4 linked regions of the Xenopus tropicalis genome follow. The protein of the gene in region 2 interacts with the protein of the main gene of each other region in a biochemical or structural test. Links are inferred from orthologs where the notes say so. Each region holds a gene or a part of one and is shown on either strand. Other genes may lie near its edges.

The links.
Region 1: the proteins of pafah1b1 (region 2) and dcx form a complex in vitro, tested with the Homo sapiens proteins (2 studies listed by BioGRID). The link is inferred for Xenopus tropicalis from reciprocal best matches to the Homo sapiens genes PAFAH1B1 and DCX.
Region 3: the proteins of pafah1b1 (region 2) and ndel1 form a complex in vitro, tested with the Homo sapiens proteins (3 studies listed by BioGRID). The link is inferred for Xenopus tropicalis from reciprocal best matches to the Homo sapiens genes PAFAH1B1 and NDEL1.
Region 4: the proteins of pafah1b1 (region 2) and nudc form a complex in vitro, tested with the Homo sapiens proteins (3 studies listed by BioGRID). The link is inferred for Xenopus tropicalis from reciprocal best matches to the Homo sapiens genes PAFAH1B1 and NUDC.

Annotation. Positions count from the first base shown.
Region 1 is NC_030684.2:51,680,432-51,685,504, forward strand, and holds part of dcx (neuronal migration protein doublecortin), read right to left. Parts: intron 1,780-5,073; 5' UTR 1,760-1,779; coding exon 1,396-1,759; intron 1-1,395. UniProt on the Homo sapiens protein: Microtubule-associated protein required for initial steps of neuronal dispersion and cortex lamination during cerebral cortex development. May act by competing with the putative neuronal protein kinase DCLK1 in binding to a target protein.
Region 2 is NC_030678.2:47,815,757-47,821,257, forward strand, and holds the start of pafah1b1 (lissencephaly-1 homolog), read left to right. Parts: upstream 1-1,939; 5' UTR 1,940-2,225; intron 2,226-5,501. UniProt on the Homo sapiens protein: Regulatory subunit (beta subunit) of the cytosolic type I platelet-activating factor (PAF) acetylhydrolase (PAF-AH (I)), an enzyme that catalyzes the hydrolyze of the acetyl group at the sn-2 position of PAF and its analogs and participates in PAF inactivation.
Region 3 is NC_030686.2:49,765,458-49,770,530, forward strand, and holds part of ndel1 (nuclear distribution protein nudE-like 1), read right to left. Parts: intron 2,755-5,073; coding exon 2,581-2,754; intron 1,948-2,580; coding exon 1,856-1,947; intron 1-1,855. UniProt on the Homo sapiens protein: Required for organization of the cellular microtubule array and microtubule anchoring at the centrosome. May regulate microtubule organization at least in part by targeting the microtubule severing protein KATNA1 to the centrosome.
Region 4 is NC_030678.2:77,788,921-77,793,993, reverse strand, and holds part of nudc (nuclear migration protein nudC), read right to left. Parts: coding exon 5,035-5,073; intron 4,262-5,034; coding exon 4,067-4,261; intron 3,982-4,066; coding exon 3,925-3,981; intron 3,782-3,924; coding exon 3,653-3,781; intron 1-3,652. UniProt on the Homo sapiens protein: Plays a role in neurogenesis and neuronal migration. Necessary for correct formation of mitotic spindles and chromosome separation during mitosis. Necessary for cytokinesis and cell proliferation.

The sequences.
Region 1 (5,073 bases), on a different chromosome or scaffold from region 2:
CTAAAAATAATTTTAACATGAAAGAAACCCAATAGGATCCATGCAGTTTAGTGACCAACAAGTACAAAGTACTGGTTTATTATTCCAAAGGAAAAAACAAGTTATTTGCTTTAATGAACTCTATGGGAGAACTTTAGGATATTTATACCCATATGTATACCTGTATCATACCTCCCAAGTGTCTCTCATTGTGCGGGACAGTCCCGAATTTATGCTGGCTGCACGCAGTCCTGGATTACCTATTAAATGTCCAGCATTATCAGAAAGTCTATAGATGGCTGACAATTCATATTCACAGACCTCAGACCTGTGGCAAATTTGTAAGGCTGTACGTGCAAACATGACGTAAAAAGGGGCGTATTTTTGAGGGCAGACATGTAAACTAAGGGGGCGTGGCTTTTTGTTCAGAACAGCCGTCCCGCTTTTCAGTTTCTAAAATGTTGAAAGGTATGCTGTATTCTCTATCCAATGATGGGCTTGTGGGAATACTTAGGGACCTCTAATTAAATACATTTGTGGGTGAATTTTTAATTTTAGGGTCCTCAACAATCTCCAAGACTGACGTATCTTGTAGAAGACTTTTTATTCCCTGCTATTGTTTCACATTAGTGAGATGGAGGGCTGCCATAAGTCCATATGTATAGAATTACTCTAGAGCACTGCAACATTTTCCATTGAATGACTTGGATTAGTTTTACCATATATATCCACGTGCCTCTGAGCCACACTTTATTAAATATGATGTCATATATTGGAAATATGGAATGCACTTGGGGGGCAGCCAAAATCCCTGTATGGTTTTATTATTATCACAGGCCTAAGTTTAAATACCACTTGGCTTCTTAACTACATCCTCCAGCCAAGGAGCGAACTTGTGTAAAACTAAGTTAGCGAAGCATTTAGCAAGTTGATGAACCTCATATCCAGAGACAATGGCCATTCCTTATCCAGGTCAACCCCAAATCCTGATTTTTGCACTTATGGCCAATTATGACATAATTCTGTACATTCTTCTATGAAACAGAAATCATATAATGAATCATATGTTGCTCTAAATAACCAATCCCCCGGAGCAGTGGAAAGGTAAATACATTTGGTTTGCACTATGACTTTAAAGACCATATCCATTTTATATACATGAACCTTGTAATTGCCAATCGATAAACATATTCTGCCAACCATTTTACTGCCAGGGTTATACCATTAAATAAAACATTTCTATTCATCATTTGGGCTGCGAAATCTGCTGCAAATGGAACTCCTGTATAATAGATGTTGCATCCAAACTGAGAGGATGACAAATCAATTATCCCATACCCCAATGGGGCTCATTTACTAAGGAGTCATAACACAACTGTTGTTGCATTTTTTTGTTAAATCATTTGGTGGACTTACCTTCCTCTAACTCATCCATGTTGGCTATCTTGTTCATTCCATCAATGGTGTAGATAAAGCGAACCCCCTGGGGCAGATTAATGTTATCAGAAAGCGACCTGGTTAGATCAGCCAACAGCGCATCAAAACTTCGGAATCTGTCAGAGGACACCGCATAGACAATCCCCTTGAAGTAGCGATCTCCATTGCGGTAGAACCGGACCTTTTTGGCCTTCTTCTCGTTGCTCAGCGCCTGCAGGGTCCGGGTCCGGTAGAAGCTGCAGTGGGCGCTGTGAGTAGGGCTAGGCAAGCCATTCATTCGAGATGCTCGTGCGTTCCTGGAAGTCTTATCCCTCTCATCAAAGTGGCCAAAGTCAAGCTCCATTTCTCACTTCCTCTGGAAATCTAGAGAAATATCCATCCAAGAATATAAATGTAACATCCAACCAGACAATAACACCACCCCCCTGGTAGCATAAATAATTCCTTTTAGTCTTTAGCAGCAAATTCTCATGTTACTCAAAGTTTGTGAATAATTAATAGGCAAAGTAAATGTACTGAGCTAACAGATAAGTGCTGGGCCAGCTAATTGAGCGAAGCAGCATGGAAAAACCAGAATTAACACCTGAGCCCATATAAACCTGTTCTGTCTGGGCATCAAAGATTGATGAGTAAAGCTTTTCCTTGGTGATGTGATTTATCGAAGCTTTGTTTTGGAGCAGTAACATCCCTACGGTGCTACTATTGTGCACTTAGGAAGACCTCATTAAAATAAATGTGGATATACATAGGCATTAAATGTATGTCAGCCACACCCACTTACTCCCATGCAGTCAGGCAGCAAACTGCTCTGTTATAACAAAATCAGTTCAGTCTCATTAAGGAGAAAGGAGACGGCGGCCTCATCACAAAGAAAGTCATGGAAAGAAATCAACCCGTACAAGCAAGGACTTTTTTATAAACATTCTCCACATATTTCTGCACTATTGTTTTGGGAGTTCCCCTTTATACTGTATATACAGCTGTCTATAATGAAATATCTCTTCTATCCCCAAGATTTGGATTTTGACACAAAGAAAAGGAAATCTGAACAAGAAGCCGTTCCACCAAATGAAAACATATTTATTTATAAGCAATGTTCCAATATACATTTCAGTGGTTTGAAAGTTTTTGAAAGCAATATCTGTCTGGCTCTTTATATTCTTTGCTCTGTTGGTTCTGACTCCTGAGACCATGTAAACTGACATCCCAGCTGCAATGTTGGGAAAGGGATAAACACATACTGCTCTTCAGGGCAATTATATATATATACAGTATATATGGATAACTTTAAAACCACTGAAGAGCTTAAATGAACGTACAGGTATGGGATCTGTTATCCAGGAACCCGTTATGTAGAAAGCTCCAAATTACAGAAAGCCTTTCTCCCATGGACTCTATTTAAATCAAATAATTCAGATTTTTCAAATTGATTTCCTTTTTCTCTGTAATAATAAATTAATAATTATATCTTAGTTGTATTTGATCCCAACTAAGATATAAGTAATCCGTATTGGAGGCAAATCAATCCTAATGGGTTTATTTAATGTTTTATTGGTTTTTTTAGTAGACAAGGTGAAAAGTAGCTTAGAATTACATTTATTTCACTTTGCTAAAAACAGCGGTTTGGGTGTAGTTGCTCTTTAACACAAATTGATGGCTTTTCATCTAAATGCACTCGCCGCATATTAATCAGGGCTTTATTTTTTTGTGGCGGGGGTGGTGTTAAGGGTTTCCTGCTTAAATCAATATTACTTTCCAAGCAAATCCAATTGTGTTCTCCATGTGACTCCACCATCAGGAGCAGGTGTACTCTATAATCCTTTTGCACATTTCCTACATACATACTGTAGGCATTCCTTGCACATGTGCCATGATGTCATCTCTTTCATTCTGCCGCAGCCTCAGTCAACACAAAGGAATCAGTTGCCACGGCTGAGAGATGCCACAGCGAAGGCAATTACCACATGCCATATCCCACAAAAACCCTGTTACCAGAGGTGGGGAGGTCAGCATATTGCCAGGGTAAGGCAATATAAATTGCATAAGGAGGACCTGCCTATGATCAGCATTAAAAATGGTGTACATTCCGGCGAGAAAAGAACATTTACTGGAGGTACAGGTGTCACAAAAGAAGTGTATATAGAATGGAAATACACTACATTCATTATAAATCTGAAAATGATTAATGTATTTAATAATGCGGCATTGTAATAAGGTTTAACGTGCAAAGACTGTCACATAAGTTGTGCAAATAGCAAGTGACTGACAGACTACATGAAAGAAAGATAGATATAGAGATAGATAGATAGATAGATAGTTATAGATAGATATAGTCATTATATATAAATAGACCATGAGCAGATGAGCAATAGATGATAGATCTATAGATGACAGATTTGGACTCTACAATCATTAATTAGCCATCGAATAAAAAAATAAAATCATTCACTGATCTGCCCAGCAGCCAATTATCAGTGCCTGTACAGCAGTAAAGATCAGTGGGATATATGTTCAGTTGCAGGACGCACTAACAAAGGATTACAGATCAATAATGTGCAGCACCAAGCCTGTCCACACCCACTCACTCCTACACACAACCGAATCCCACTGGGGATTAGCAAGTCAAATTTAAGTATAATGCTGTCCTTCTGCTGCCACAAATGAGACAATGGCAACCCTAAGCCAGGAGTGAAATCCAGTGACATTAGAGGCAGTGACCAGTCATTGATCTGCAGTGGGAAGGGGGTGCCAGCATGGCACAGATAGCTCATGCCTTACCATTCACATTTAAACATATAACTGTGGCAGCAATAAAACAGACATAATGCTACCGAGCTGCCTCTGGGGGTTAAACTGCTGTAACAATTGGCCTCTCCCATTTTCTCACTGCATGGAGCACATGTTTTCAGGCCACCCTAAACCTCCCATTTTACTGTGCAAGGTGGGTGGGGGAGAACATGTTCCGATACACACAGATATGGAGAGGAGAAACCCACACCTGTTCCTGCATTGCACACTTCATTGTCTCCATAGTAGATCCCACTCAGTGAGATTATTGGCATTCTTTAGTAAGCTATGCCTGCGCTACCTTGTGCAGTAGTGCTTCTGATTGCATAAATGATGGGTTTAGCAAACCACTTTAAATGTCAATCTGCCACATAAATAATATCAATTAATAATCTGAATTCACCACAAATCATTATGTCTCATTGAAATGCACCATTCTATGCCTGTCTGCTGAGGAAGACTCCCCCGTACCAGCCCATGCTGTAATTCACAGATTCGCTAGCTGCTCCCCTTGGGGCTGTTACCTTAACAACCAGTCTGAGATACATGAGCATAATTCCATTCTCTGTCTGTCGCCTCTCTGGAGTAAGACCCTTTCCTTCCCCCAATCTGCAGTTTAACCCCTCATGTGCCTGACACACAGTATATAATTACTGCTTCTATAATGCAGGGTGAAATCAAACTGTCAGGTTGTCACAATCTACATGGAAATGCGACTCAAGTCTCTGATGGCTGCTGTTACTGTGCCTGGTAAATGGCACTAATACCCCCCACCCAAATCAGATGCTGCCCCACTAAATGTGCTTTAATGGCTTATTCAGTCTCTCTTCTGTCAATGGGATCTGGAACAGGGAGCTCTGAAATGCCAAG
Region 2 (5,501 bases):
TCTCACAGAGTACTGATTCTCTCACACACATACAGAGTACTGACTCTCACGCACACACATACAGAGTACTGACTCTCACGCACACACATACAGAGTACTGACTCTCTCACATACAGAGTACTGACTCTCTCACATACAGAGTACTGACTCTCTCACATACAGAGTACTGACTCTCTCACACACACATACAGAGTACTGACTCTCTCACATACAGAGTACTGACTCTCTCACACACACATACAGAGTACTGACTCTCACGCACACACATACAGAGTACTGACTCTCTCACATACAGAGTACTGACTCTCTCACATACAGAGTACTGACTCTCACGCATACAGAGTACTGACTCTCACGCACACACATACAGAGTACTGACTCTCACACATACAGAGTACTGACTCTCTCACACACACATACAGAGTACTGACTCTCTCACACACACATACAGAGTACTGACTCTCTCACATACACATACAGAGTACTGACTCTCTCACACACATAGAGTACTGACTCTCTCACACACATAGAGTACTGACTCTCTCACACACACACAGAGTACTGACTCTCTCACACACATACAGAGTACTGACTCTCTCACACACATACAGAGTACTGACTCTCTCACACACATACAGAGTACTGACTCTCTCACACACATACAGAGTACTGACTCTCTCACACACATACAGAGTACTGACTCTCTCACACACATAGAGTACTGACTCTCTCACACACATAGAGTACTGACTCTCTCACACACATAGAGTACTGACTCTCTCACACACACACAGAGTACTGACTCTCTCACACACATACAGAGTACTGACTCTCTCACACACATACAGAGTACTGACTCTCTCACACACATACAGAGTACTGACTCCCAACCTCTCACACACATACAGAGTACTGACTCTCTCACACACATACAGAGTACTGACTCTCTCACACACACATACAGAGTACTGACTCTCTCACACACACATACAGAGTACTGACTCTCTCACACACACATACAGAGTACTGACTCTCTCACATACACATACAGAGTACTGACTCTCTCACATACAGAGTACTGACTCTCTCACACACATAGAGTACTGACTCTCTCACACACATAGAGTACTGACTCTCTCACACACACACAGAGTACTGACTCTCTCACACACATACAGAGTACTGACTCTCTCACACACATACAGAGTACTGACTCTCTCACACACATACAGAGTACTGACTCTCTCACACACATACAGAGTACTGACTCTCTCACATACAGAGTACTGACTCTCTCACACACATAGAGTACTGACTCTCTCACACACATAGAGTACTGACTCTCTCACACACACAGAGTACTGACTCTCTCACACACATACAGAGTACTGACTCTCTCACATACAGAGTACTGACTCTCTCACACACATACAGAGTACTGACTCTCTCACACGCATACAGAGTACTGACTCTCACACGCATACAGAGTACTGACTCTCTCACATACAGAGTACTGACTCTCTCACACACACATACAGAGTACTGACTCTCTCACACACACATACAGAGTACTGACTCTCACGCACACAGAGACAGCTGTCACACAGGGGAGCGCAGGAATTGCACAAACAAACTCTCCTTTCACGTGAACGCGAAGGGCAAGCATGCTCCCTCTTCCGTCATAATGGCGCCTGCGCTCTCCGCCTTCCCTGCGTCATTTGCCTTTGTCATCCCTCCCCATCTCTCCCCCTCCTCGTCCACGCCTAGGCAGCCGCCGCTAGGGCGCAGGCGCGGTTCCCGATTAAGCAAGCCCACTCCCCACAGCCGGCCGGTCGCTCCCTCCTCCTCCTCTCCTTCAGCGGTTGATATGACGTCACCGCGCTCCTGAGCTCCGTTTCGCTGACAGCACGGTGGCGGCGGCGGCTTCCCTGAGAGCCCCGGCGGAAACCACGGAGAAGAAAGGGAGGCACGGACCCTTAGAAAGGAATAGCTGCAGAGAAGACGGATTCAGTGCAATTTGACAGGAAACAACGTACATACAAGCGAGCCCCGCCGACCTCCACACCCAAGCTCTTTATTTTTATTTATTTGATTTCTTGTCACCTCGTCAGGCTCTAACTGGGAGCCTCATCCCCCGCCCTTCCAGAGACCTTGCCCAGGGGAGCTGCCCGGCGGCCATGAGAAGAAATCCTTCTCCCGCTGTGTGCTTGGGATAACCCTGCACGGTAAGTGCCCGGCTAGATCACCGGGCGGGAGAGAGGCGGGATGCAAGGCCTTGTCTGACGATGTGGCTGCTGCTGCTGCTGCCGCCGCCTCCTCCCCTCCCTCCTTCATCTTCTCCTCTCTCTCACTTTCTCAAAATGGCGGCCAGCCGTTACTGTTCCTAGCCCGCAGGGGGGTGGAACAGGAAAGCTTTAGGCAAGGATCTCCTGCTTGCACCTTCCCAGCTGTTTCATGAGCTGCTTCCCCCAGTCTTCTGCTTGGAAGGCTTATAATAGGGGTGCTTGTGGGTGTTGTTTGTGGAGGGGTGGGGGTGCAGTTTGCCAGATCATCGCTTTAAACAAGACGCCTTAATGGTACATTACAGCAACATGCCTACTAATGCTGTAGCTTGGCTATAAAACCTGCACCTCCTGCTATTGCAGAACCATTTTTCCCAGCTGTCAAAGGATGGTGGGAGTTAGAGTTCAGCAGCAACTGGAGAACATAGGGTAGGGCGTCTTTGACATCACAATCAGTGAATCCTCAGACATGTATATGCTATAAGCATCAAGGGATGGTCTGGTACCCCCACTTGTTTAGAGCTGCAGGTTTGATGTCTGTTGTGCCCTTGATTAATGATTTACTAGCCCTTATTTATATGATTCTTTGCTGCAGTGATGTGTGTGTTTGTGGCCTACTAATTGTCGTTGAACTGCAACTTTCAGCCAGCTGTGCCTGGGGGGCACATGAATGTTTCTGTGGAAATGAATTTCAATTTCACTTCTGTGTCATAAATGCATAGTTTCAGTTAAAAGCATATAATGTGGATTCAGTTGATTCATTTGATAAGCCGTTTACTAATAAAAGGACTTTCACCTTAACGAGATAACTGCTGTGTATCAATTTAACTCGTGTGTGGCAGGGGCATTCCATGTTTGTACACGCCCGCCCCCGCACCTTTTCCAGTATTATGTTATTTTTAATTCTTCCTGCAACATCTTGCTAACGGGGATGTCTTCACCATCTGGACAAGGCTACATCTCTAAACAGCATTACATAAGGGCCTCTTCTTGTGCGGAACATCAAGAAAAACAGGGGGGTGGGCCTAGAAGTGACATTTGTCATCTTTTGTGTCATGCAAGTGCTGCCATTTAAGTCTTCTGACATATAACTTTTATAGTTGAGTGCTCACATCATGATAACATTCATTTACATTGTCATGCCCTGGTGTCTCCAAGGATAGGGATGATGGGTTAAGTCCATAAAGGGCTATGTGTATTATGCGATGCTGTATAGGTGTGTACATGTTGCAAGTCAGACACTTGAAAGGCTTGCAGCAAGAGTTGGGATTGACACATGGGAAATTATGATGGCTGAAACTAATGGTAATTACCTGCACTAGTCATCCGGATACAAATGTTTCATACTTATTTTGTAAAACATGGGTATCTTTTCTCCTAATGTTTTAGCAGATCAATAAGTCTGCTATAAATCTGACATCCATTCTCTCATTTGGTTTTCTAAAGGTGATAAGTGCTATTTTTCTTTAAATCCATGCTTTGTTATTTCTCTAGAAAAGCTGTTTTTTTTTTTTAAATCTCTGTCATGTGTGCCTATGTAAGGCATTCAGATTAACAAATGAACAATATATTGCTTACGCCAGGAATTTTAATCATGACTAGGCATTTGTAACCCTGTTTTATTTTATTTTTTTATGGGTTGCGTGTTCATCTTTGAGTGCTGTAAAACTGCCCTGTGTTTGCATGTTGCTGATGGTTCTTGTGCAATTTATCCTTAACCATTAGTATTCTGGAAGAGAAAACATAGTTTCTATATTTCTATCTCGATAATTAAAATATTTATAATATAGATGTGTGTGTTTAGATGCTTCCCAATGTGTTCAATTGGATAGAAGCGATTTTGTTGTTTGTCTGGTTTTTTTTTTTTTTTTTGGGCTCATAATAAAGGATACTGCGCACCGCCGTCAAACAGGGACAGAGAGGAAACTGGGTGGAGTAAGGAGGCAGAGGCGATGCTTTGGCTCTGCAGCTCTGCTAAAATAGTGTATTTGGCATCATTCAGGATTACACAGCTTCACAGTACCAAATTATGTGACTAAATCTGAGCAATTAAGAAACTGAAAATTTCTTTTAAACAAAGCTTTTGCTTTTTTTTTTCTTCTATACACTTGTTGAGGTTTTACTTTATATAATTAATACTATCAGACAATTGTTTTATATTTTATCTTGTTTATGTGGAGAATAAATATTTATTGTTTTATTTGTCTGGTGACAGTAAACTCTCCACAGTGTTTTAAAGGGATTCTAGCATCTCAGCCTGACTAAAATGTCACTATATAAACCTTAAGTTTTGGGTTGAATTTGAGCTATTTAGTAAAACAAAAAAACATTGTTTACTTCCATTTTCGTTATCAGTGGTGAAATGTTGCTTCCTGGATATCCAAATGCTTGGACTTTACAACAAAGGCTCTGTAAAACACCATATACCCACATTGTGACATTTAATTGCTGAGATATTTTTATTACTTCTGATTTCCTCTGCATCAATTGCTTGGTTAAAGGTATGTTGCCAGATTATCCGTGAACTTTTACAGTTCATTAAATGTTAGGATATTTTATATTAGTATATTAGTAATGGAATGCTCTGCATTGTTACTTTACATAGAAGGGTTAACATTTTGTATACACTAATACCCTATTTTCTACTTTTGCTTTACAGAAAGCTTTTTTTAAAATTTCTGTCCAGGAGTGACAAACCCTTTACCCAGTGGTTTTAATGTGGTTTATCCTTACTCTTTTGTTTTCTTTGTTTTTATTTTTTTAAATAAAGCTCATTCTTTGTCTTATGGAAAGCCACTCCTACAATGCAGTGCCTGATTAATGCTTTGAAAGTTGTTCTATCATTGCATCTTTAAAAAGTTATATTAAATATTATCTGTATAGTATAATAGTATAAATTGTTATCAAGCTGGTATCTCAATATTTTATTCAAATATAAATGTACTAATTGCTGTTAAGCAGCTATAGTATGTATTTGATTTTCATGGGCATTTAAACTTTTTTCTTGCTTTCGGCCATGTTACATGCATTCTGGTTTTGTTGACTAGCCCTGCAGCACATGCCATGCTAGAGGCTAGTGATTTTTAAGATGGGCATTGTTATATAGGTGTGGCATTATTCACCTGGCTGTTATTCCACTGTTTGCTGTAGCTCTCCTGTGTTCTCATTGCCAAAGCAGGTAGGATATTGTAGTGGGGCGGGGGGGGGGGGGGAGAGTAC
Region 3 (5,073 bases), on a different chromosome or scaffold from region 2:
CTCCCAACTCCAATTGCAGGAACAGAGAACAGGGAGCCGGATTTACTCACATCAGCTGGGATTCTCATTGGGGGAAAGTTTTACAGGTCCTTTTCAAAAAATTAGCATATTGTGATAAAGTTCATTATTTTCTGTAATGTACTGATAAACATTAGACTTTCATATATTTTAGATTCATTACACACAACTGAAGTAGTTCAAGCCTTTTCTTGTTTTAATATTGATGATTGTGGCATACAGCTCATGAAAACCCAAAATTCCTATCTCAAAAAATTAGCATATTTCATCCGCCCAATAAAAGAAAAGTGTTTTTAATACAAAAAAAGTCAACCTTCAAATAATTATGTTCAGTTATGCACTCAATACTTGGTCGGGAATCCTTTTGCAGAAATGACTGCTTCAATGTGGCGTGGCATGGAGGCAATCAGCCTGTGGCACTGCTCAGGTGTTATGGAGGCCCAGGATGCTTCAATAGCGGCCTTAAGCTCATCCAGAGTGTTGGCTCTTGTGTCTCTCAACTTTCTCTTCACAATATCCCACAGATTCTCTATGGGGTTCAGGTCAGGAGAGTTGGCAGGCCAATTGAGCACAGTAATACCATGGTCAGTAAACCATTTACCAGTGGTTTTGGCACTGTGAGCAGGTGCCAGGTCATGCTGAAAAATGAAATCTTCATCTCCATAAAGCTTTTCAGCAGATGGAAGCATGAAGTGCTCCAAAATCTCCTGATAGCTAGCTGCATTGACCCTGCCCTTGATAAAACACAGTGGCCCAACACCAGCAGCTGACATGGCACCCCAGACCATCACTGACTGTGGGTACTTGACACTGGACTTCAGGCATTTTGGCATTTCCCTCTCCCCAGTCTTCCTCCAGACTCTGGCTCCTTGATTTCCGAATGACATACCTTGGACCACTGAGCAACAGTCCAGTGCTGCTTCTCTGTAGCCCAGGTCAGGCACTTCTGCCGCTGTTTCTGGTTCAAAAGTGGCTTGACCTGGGGAATGCAGCACCTGTAGCCCATTTCCTGCACACGCCTGTACACGGTGGCTCTGGATGTTTCTACTCCAGACTCAGTCCACTGCTTCCGCAGGTCCCCCAAGGTCAGGAATCGGTCCTTCTCCACAATCTTCCTCAGGGCCCAGTCACCTCTTCTCGTTGTGCAGCGTTTTCTGCCACACTTTTTCCTTCCCACAGACTTCCCACTGAGGTGCCTTGATACAGCACTCTGGGAACAGCCTATTTGTTCAGAAATTTCTTTTTGTGTCTTACCCTCTTGCTTGAGGGTGTCAATGATGGCCTTCTGGGCAGCAGTCAGGTCGGCAGTCTTACCCATGATTGCGGTTTTGAGTAATGAACCAGGCTGGGAGTTTTTAAAAGCCTCAGGAATCTTTTTAAGGTTTTTAGAGTTAATTAGTTGATTCAGATGATTAGGTTAATAGCTCGTTTAGAGAACCTTTTCATGATATGCTAATTTTTTGAGACAGGAATTTTGGGTTTTCATGAGCTGTATGCCACAATCATCAATATTAAAACAAGAAAAGGCTTGAACGACTTCAGTTGTGTGTAATGAATCTAAAATATATGAAAGTCTAATGTTTATCAGTACATTACAGAAAATAATGAACTTTATCACAATATGCTAATTTTTTGAAAAGGACCTGTATTGGGCAATATTGCTTTAAGAATACAGCCCTGATGTTGCTGGACTACAGCTCCCAGCATGCCTCACCCTTTATTATATGTTACATTATTCTGGGATTTGTAGTCCGGCAACAGCTGAGTAACGTTAGTTTGAGCCGTGCAGCAGGGTTTAGTTCCCCTTTAAAAGTTCTTCTCCACCATAATTACTTACCCCGACTTTCCTCAGCAGGTCCCCTACAATGTTAAGTGCTGATATTCGGGCAGAAGGTGTAAGTGGCGTTGTTCCGAAACCGTTTGGTATCCCTGCAACAGAAAGGAAACATGGCGTCACTCCACATGCGCTAACTGGCACCCAGTTTGTTGCTAGATAAACAAGACCCTAGCAACCAGATAGCTGCTAAAACGGAAAGCTGTTGAACAAAAAGCTAAATAACTGGAAAACCATAAAAATATAAAACGAAGACCAATAGCAAATTATCTCAGAATATCAATGTTTACCATAATATCATATAAAAAGTTAAAAGGGGAACTAACCCTTCAATATCTATTGTTACTGTGAGACCCGGATATGCAGAGCAAAGCTACCCCCCCGGGCCCCGGTAAGGAGTGATATGGGCCCCTAGCAGCAGCTGTCAGTGCACTCCATCTTACTAAAGGAAATCCCGTTTCAGTAAATTTCAGCTGCTTCTTGGGGTTTTTAAAGGGGAACTAAACCCTATTCATTCTATAACATACTAAAGAGAGAAGCCTGCAGCTCTACAGGGATTCCCCTAAACAAACCAGGGAAAATCCACCCCGGAGATGCGGAGAGTCCCATTCCATGTACTTGCCGTCACTGGGGCAATTATGGTTTGTTTGGGGGACGCCCACTAAATACCCTGCCCCCCCCGCAGATGAAGGAAAGCCCCTTTGCGGCGGCGCAGAAACCAGACCAACCTTTGGGTGGGGTGAAGCTGTTATCGGATACTTTGCCCACGGGGGTCGCTGGGAGGGAGAGAGAAGCCTGCACGGCCGAGTCGGTTTTATCACAGTCCAGAGTGGGCGAACTGGGGGCCGATTTCCTCGTGCCGTCCGTCTGTCTCTCCCGTACGGCTAATTCCTGCCTCAAGTCTGCGCAAAATAATAAGGGCACAGCCATGATATACACCCCTGCCGTATGTATACACTCGCACATATACACCCCCGCCGTATGTATACACTCGCACATATACACCCCCGCCGTATGTATACACTCACACATATACACCCCCGCCGTATGTATACACTCACACATATACACCCCTGCCGTATGTATACACTCGCACATATACACCCCTGCCGTATGTATACACTCGCACATATACACCCCCGCCGTATGTATACACTCGCACATATACACCCCCGCCGTATGTATACACTCGCACATATACACCCCCGCCGTATGTATACACTCGCACATATACACCCCCGCCGTATGTATAACACTCGCACATATACACCCCCGCCGTATGTATACACTCGCACATATACACCCCCGCCGTATGTATACACTCGCACATATACACCCCCGCCGTATGTATACACTCGCACATATACACCCCCACTGTACGTATACACTCACATATACACCCCCACTGTACGTATACACTCACATATACACCCCCGCCGTACGTATACACTCACATATACACCCCCGCTGTACGTATACACTCACATATACACCCCCACCGAACGTATACACTCACATATACACCCCCGCCGTACGTATACACTCACATATACACCCCCGCCGTACGTATACACTCACATATACACCCCACCGTACGTATACACTCACATATACACCCCCACCGTACGTATACACTCACATATACACCCCCACTGTACGTATACACTCACATATACACCCCCACTGTACGTATACACTCACATATACACCCCCACTGTACGTATACACTCACATATACACCCCCGCCGTACATATACACTTGCACATATACACCCCCGCCGTACTTATACACTTGCACATATACACCCCCACCGTACCTATACACTTGCACATATACACCCCCGCCGTACATATACACTTGCACATATACACCCCCGCCGTACATATACACTCACATATACACCCCCGCCGTACTTATACACTTGCACATATACACCCCCGCCGTACATATACACTTGCACATATACACCCCCACCGTACGTATACACTTGCACATATACACCCCCACCGTACGTATACACTTGCACATATACACCCCCACCGTACGTATACACTTGCACATATACACCCCCACCGTACGTATACACTTGCACATATACACCCCCACCGTACGTATACACTTGCACATATACACCCCCGCCGTACGTATACACTTGCACATATACACCCCCGCCGTACGTATACACTTACACATATACACCCCCGCCGTACGTATACACTCACATATACACCCCCACTGTACGTATACACTCACATATACACCCCCGCCGTACGTATACACTCACATATACACCCCCACTGTACGTATACACTCACATATACACCCCCGCCGTACGTATACACTCACATATACACCCCCGCCGTACGTATACACTCACATATACACCCCCGCCGTACGTATACACTTGCACATATACACCCCCGCCGTACGTATACACTCACATATACACCCCCACTGTACGTATACACTCACATATACACCCCCGCCGTACGTATACACTCACATATACACCCCCGCCGTACGTATACACTTGCACATATACACCCCCGCCGTACGTATACACTCACATATACACCCCCACTGTACGTATACACTCACATATACACCCCCACTGTACGTATACACTCACATATACACCCCCGCCGTACGTATACACTCACATATACACCCCCACTGTACGTATACACTCACATATACACCCCCGCCGTACGTATACACTCACATATACACCCCCACTGTACGTATACACTCACATATACACCCCCGCCGTACATATACACTTGCACATATACACCCCCGCCGTACTTATACACTTGCACATATACACCCCCGCCGTACATATACACTTGCACATATACACCCCCACCGTACGTATACACTTGCACATATACACCCCCACCGTACGTATACACTTGCACATATACACCCCCGCCGTACATATACACTCACATATACACCCCCGCCGTACTTATACACTTGCACATATACACCCCCGCCGTACATATACACTTGCACATATACACCCCCACCGTACGTATACACTTGCACATATACACCCCCACCGTACGTATACACTTGCACATATACACCCCCACCGTACGTATACACTCACATATACACCCCCACTGTACGTATACACTCACATATACACCCCCGCCGTACGTATACACTCACATATACACCCCCACTGTACGTATACACTCACATATACACCCCCGCC
Region 4 (5,073 bases), about 30 Mb from region 2:
ATTTCTTGAAATTGCTTAACTTAAAAAGGTATTGTAAATGAATGGTCACTTTGTGACTTGCATTACCACTTTTCACTACTGCTGTCTTCAAACCTTTTTCATACAATGCAACAGAGCTGTCAACACATGAATAAGCACAACAGTGATGGCTATTTTTCCTCATTTTAAAAGGAGAAGGAAAGGCTAAGTCACTTGGTGCCAAAATGTTAGGCACCCCCAAGTGACTTACGCTTACCTTGTACCCCAGGCTGGTACCCCTGTTAGGAGAAAACAGCACCAGCCCAGGGTACCTGTAGCTGAGCGCTTCCTCCTTCTGGCTTCGTTTTGCAAGGACTAAACGACAGGCGCATGCGCAGTAGAGTGAAAAGCCGACTTCTCTGTTAAAGTTCGGCTTTTTCACTCTACTGCACATGCGCGCGCACTGAGGCAGGAAGGAGGAAGCGCTACAGGTACCACAGGCTGGTGCTGTTCTCTCCGAACAGGGGCACCAGCCTGGGGTACAAGGTTTCATATATGCCACATGTTCTGGACGTGGTACATTGTTTTGCTAGTCAGTATAATTTTGAGACTACATCCCCTAAACTTTTAGACAGGAGTCAATCCACAGTGCCTATGCAGAACCAGAAGTTGGGTTTTTGGTTGTTCTTCACTATAGTTGCTCTCAGTAACCCTACTGCATTAAGCTCTTCTTAGGTAGTCGAGCTTGCATTCAGTAACCTTACTGCCTAAAGCTCTACTTAAGAAGTCGTGCTAACATTTTCAGGCTGCTTTAGTTTTGAAAATACAGCAATTCAAAAAGGTACCATCACCAGGCTATCAGGTCCTGGGGACGAAATTATTGAAATTATATACTGTCAGTATTCCTTTAATCAGCAGTTTGCAAAAAGTTGCATAAAGTTGCATAAACAGCTATAGAATTTAGAAAACAAAATGCTTCCTCGTTAAAGGAGAAGGAAAGGTAAAAACGAAGTGAGCTTTATCAGAAAGGTCTATGTAAATACAGCTATACGTACTCACAGAAAAGCTGCACTGAGTTCTCTATCAAAAGAAACACATGATTTCTTGTCTCCTTTTTTCCTATGCCAGAGTCTATGCTCCCCTCTCCCTTAGGAATTAGTGATCTGAGCTATACAGCAGGAAGCTTCCTCATAGTCTTACACACTGCACATGTACATGGGTCTTGGTCTTGGTGCAGGAACTTGGCATTATGGGAATTTTGTTTACAGAGCTCAGCATTTCTTTTTACTATGACGCTTCAGATCATCTGAACAGGAAAATATGGAGAGACTTAAGGGGCACTATTGAGAGAACTGAAGGTATGTCTGTAGCTTGAGATTAACACTTTATTAGCCTTTTCTTCTCCTTTAACTGTGTTTTTAGAACTATTAAGATATAGCATAAATAGCCTTTGGCTGTTTAACTGCTGCTGAACATGCTAGCTTCCACGTGCAACCAGATGAACACTGTAATAAAAGCATGTAAAGCACAAGAGACCCGGCCACGTAAAGCCTCTAAATTAGACCCAACCAAATCCAGTTACAGTGAGACACAACCCTGAACCAACTTTCAGGTCAGCTCCTTACCTCCAGGGAGGGAGCAATACAAAAATTACTTTTTTACTAGTATGTAAGGCTATTCAACAACTTTATCCAAATTCACATAAAGCTGATTTCTAATGGGCCAAATAACAAGATATCCAACAGTTACCATAGGTTGACTAGTTGGTTGTTTCACCCACACAGATGACCATGTTGCTCTGATCCAACTGAACATCCTGTATGTTGGTTGGTCCAATCGCTCACCACAGTTGTTGGCCCAATAAGTTGTATGGTTTGGCATATAACAACATATTTAGTAACATATAATTAATCAGTTCTTCTTCCACATTAATTTTTGTGGTTTGATCATCCAAACCAAAATAGGGGTCCACATATGAACTAATCATTATGCAGTTTGTTTGGAAACTAATGGAACTGCAAATATTGGTGCTTCTATGAGCAGAAATGAGCATGCCAAAGTGCGAACACTCTGCCTGGCTTAAACATATACCTGGATGATTGCCAGATCTGTAATCTCTTATTAAAGTGATACTGACACTAAAAAAACTGCTCTTCAAAATATTAATGTACATTAAATATTACCTATAGGTCATGTTGATTGTTTTTCACTGATAGGGCTGCTTTTGTAAGTAATTGTTACTGGAAGTTCCTAAACCTGACTCTTTTGCCAACATGACTTTCCTTCTGCTTTAAATGGCAGATTAAGAAGGGACAGTCATTTCAGCATTTTACTACCAATAGATTTACCACATTAGTGCCACTTGGAATGCTATATTTATTCTGCAGAAAGCTTTACTATACCCGAGTAGAGAGCCCTAGAAGTTTTCACTGTTTGCTTAAGATTGCAGCTGCCATTTTATCTTGATCTTCATAGCTTCCTGCTTGCAGTTTAGCCGTTATAGTTTAGATTACGCATTCTTAAGGGTGGGGGGAGTGGGTTTTATGAATTCTTATGGGAGAGAACTGCTCAGACTCTGGCCTGGGTATGAAGGATTTTTCTGAGAGAGGAAGTCAGATACCCTAAGAACGTGTACAAAATAGGAGAAAAGAAATCCTGTGCCTCTTTTCATAGAGGACTGCAGCATTACTGTAAGTGCTTATGGCATATTTACATAGACCTTTCTGATAAAACTTACTTTGTTTTTACCTTTCCTTCTACTTTAACAGTTTCTAATGCTAAAGGACTACTGCTGCACAAATATGGCAGCCCCCTCATAGAGGAACATAGGGGATCAGGAATGTAAACGCATCGAGCAAATACTTTTAAGTAAAAAAAACATGCAAAGACAATGTTAAGACAGATGTAAAAATGGTTAGATTTCTGTTGTCAGTATCTCTTTTAAAGGAGAAAGAAAGGTAAAAACTAAGTAAGCTTTATCAGAAAGGTCTATGTAAATACAGCCATAAGCACTCACAGAAACGCTGCACTGACTTCTCTGTGAAAAGATTTCTTGTGTTGGTAATTCCTGTGCCAGAGACACACAGCTTTCTGCTGTCTCCTCTCTCTTGCTCCCCCCTCCCTCAAGAATGCTAAGAACTCACTCCCAGCTTGAGATTAACTCTTTATTAGCCTTTCCTTCTCCTTTAAGATCTATGGAGGGTCACAGTAGGTAGTTCAGTCTCTCCCCTTGTAAAAAAAAAAAAAATCTGTCACATTTTTACTAGGAAAAACACCAAAAACAATTATTCATCCCCACAAATCTAAACAAAAACTCAGATGTACAGGAATAACAAACAATACTAAGAGCAGATTTTGCATAAAAAAACCTCTCCTCATGCAATACTGAGCTGGTTGCCCAGTCAGTGGTGTAACTGCTGTCATTTCCTCTGTGTCAGTGGTCTTTAGCATATATATGCACATAGATTAATGTTAGGACACCAGTCTGGAAAACAGCATGTCTGAAACCACTGTGTCTGACAGCTGTTTAAGAATAAAGTATTGGAGCTAAAATGGTAGGAAAGTTATCTATAAAAATCCACAAAACAAACTAAAAAAAATTGTGAGGTAAAATTTTTAGTTCCCTTTGTCCAGGCTCTTTCTATGGACATCACACGCGACTAAATATTTAGCAACATTCTTTACAAACACTTACATCAACCTCAGAGAGGGTTTGTGTCCAGCGGTAATGAGGAAGGTTGGCTCCATTTCCTGAATTTGGTTTGAGCTTTCCTTTATCTTTCTCATCATCTTCTTCCTCCTCCTCCTTTTCTTCCTCTCCATCCTACAGAATACAAAAACCAGCAATCACAGCCTATTATTCTCCTCCTTCACTATTGCTGAGACATCACTTTACATTGATCATATTTTTCCAAGAGCACATCAGTGTTTCTCCTAACAGTTATTTGTTGTTGTTTATAACCTTACCTTCTCAGGCTCTGGTTTCTCCTCTGTCTCTCTAGTTGCCTTCTCTTTCTCTTTGTTCTGCAAATCAAAAAAAAAATGTTTAAAAATATTTGCACTGCTGGAAATATAATAAGTGATGGCTTCTCATTTTCTAGTGTTTAACCTTATCAATTTCTTTTTGTAGTCTCTCTGCTTCCTCATCAGTGAGCTCTGTGATTCTGGACTCTCCAGCTTCCGTTTCTTTTTTCTTGGCTTCCCGTTCTTGCCTCACAGCCTCTCTCTCCAGACGATCAGCATCCTTCTGTTTCTGAGCTGCTAAAGCTAGTTTATTGTGGTGGTTGAAGGCCTGGGTGATGAGCTGTAGAAAAAAAAAAATAATTTGTACATTCACACAGTATATCTCTGCATTAAAGGGAAAGAAACATGTAAGTAGAGAAAAAACAAATTTTGGAAACCCTTTGCTGAAACTGACCACTTGGTCAGTTGGGTTTATCCATTCAACTGTCCCACAGTGACAACAATCAAATTAAAAGCCCAATGCTGTCCTTGGATTTTCTAGTCTGCCCAATAGACAACAGGCCGGCCATGGTTATGGCCCATACATAGACCAACAGGCTTTCAGCTCAATTTGGAGTAGGCAACTCGCATCAGCCTGTTTATCAACAGCTTTTCTCACAACATTATTGTGTTGCTGAGAATCTGCTGCCACATTTATCAACAAACCATAATGTAGGTTTGCCCCCTGTGGAGAAACTGTTCTAACAAACTGATTATAACAGAAATTAGAAAAAAAAAAAAAAAAAGAATACATAGAAAAACATTCTCCAGGGAACAACTAACTAGTCACATCGTATATCAAACAAATGACAATGTATCAAACTTGAGTATCTGGAAAAAAATTATAGGTCAACAAGGAGTATACATGTAATCATAGATGTGGAGGCCAGATAAGAAACCTAATGAAGAACAGACTGAACTAGTTAACATGCTGTGTATTGATGAGTTAGCCAACATACTGTATATTGAAAGAGCATATTAGCTGGCTTCATCTGTTTTTGTAACCTTGCTTTCAACACGAATATAATGCATTTCTGCAAAAATTTGGTGAACAACTGTTCAGCTCTTTCTCACCTTTTCAGCTGCAGCATTTTCTCCTCCAACAAAGAAGTC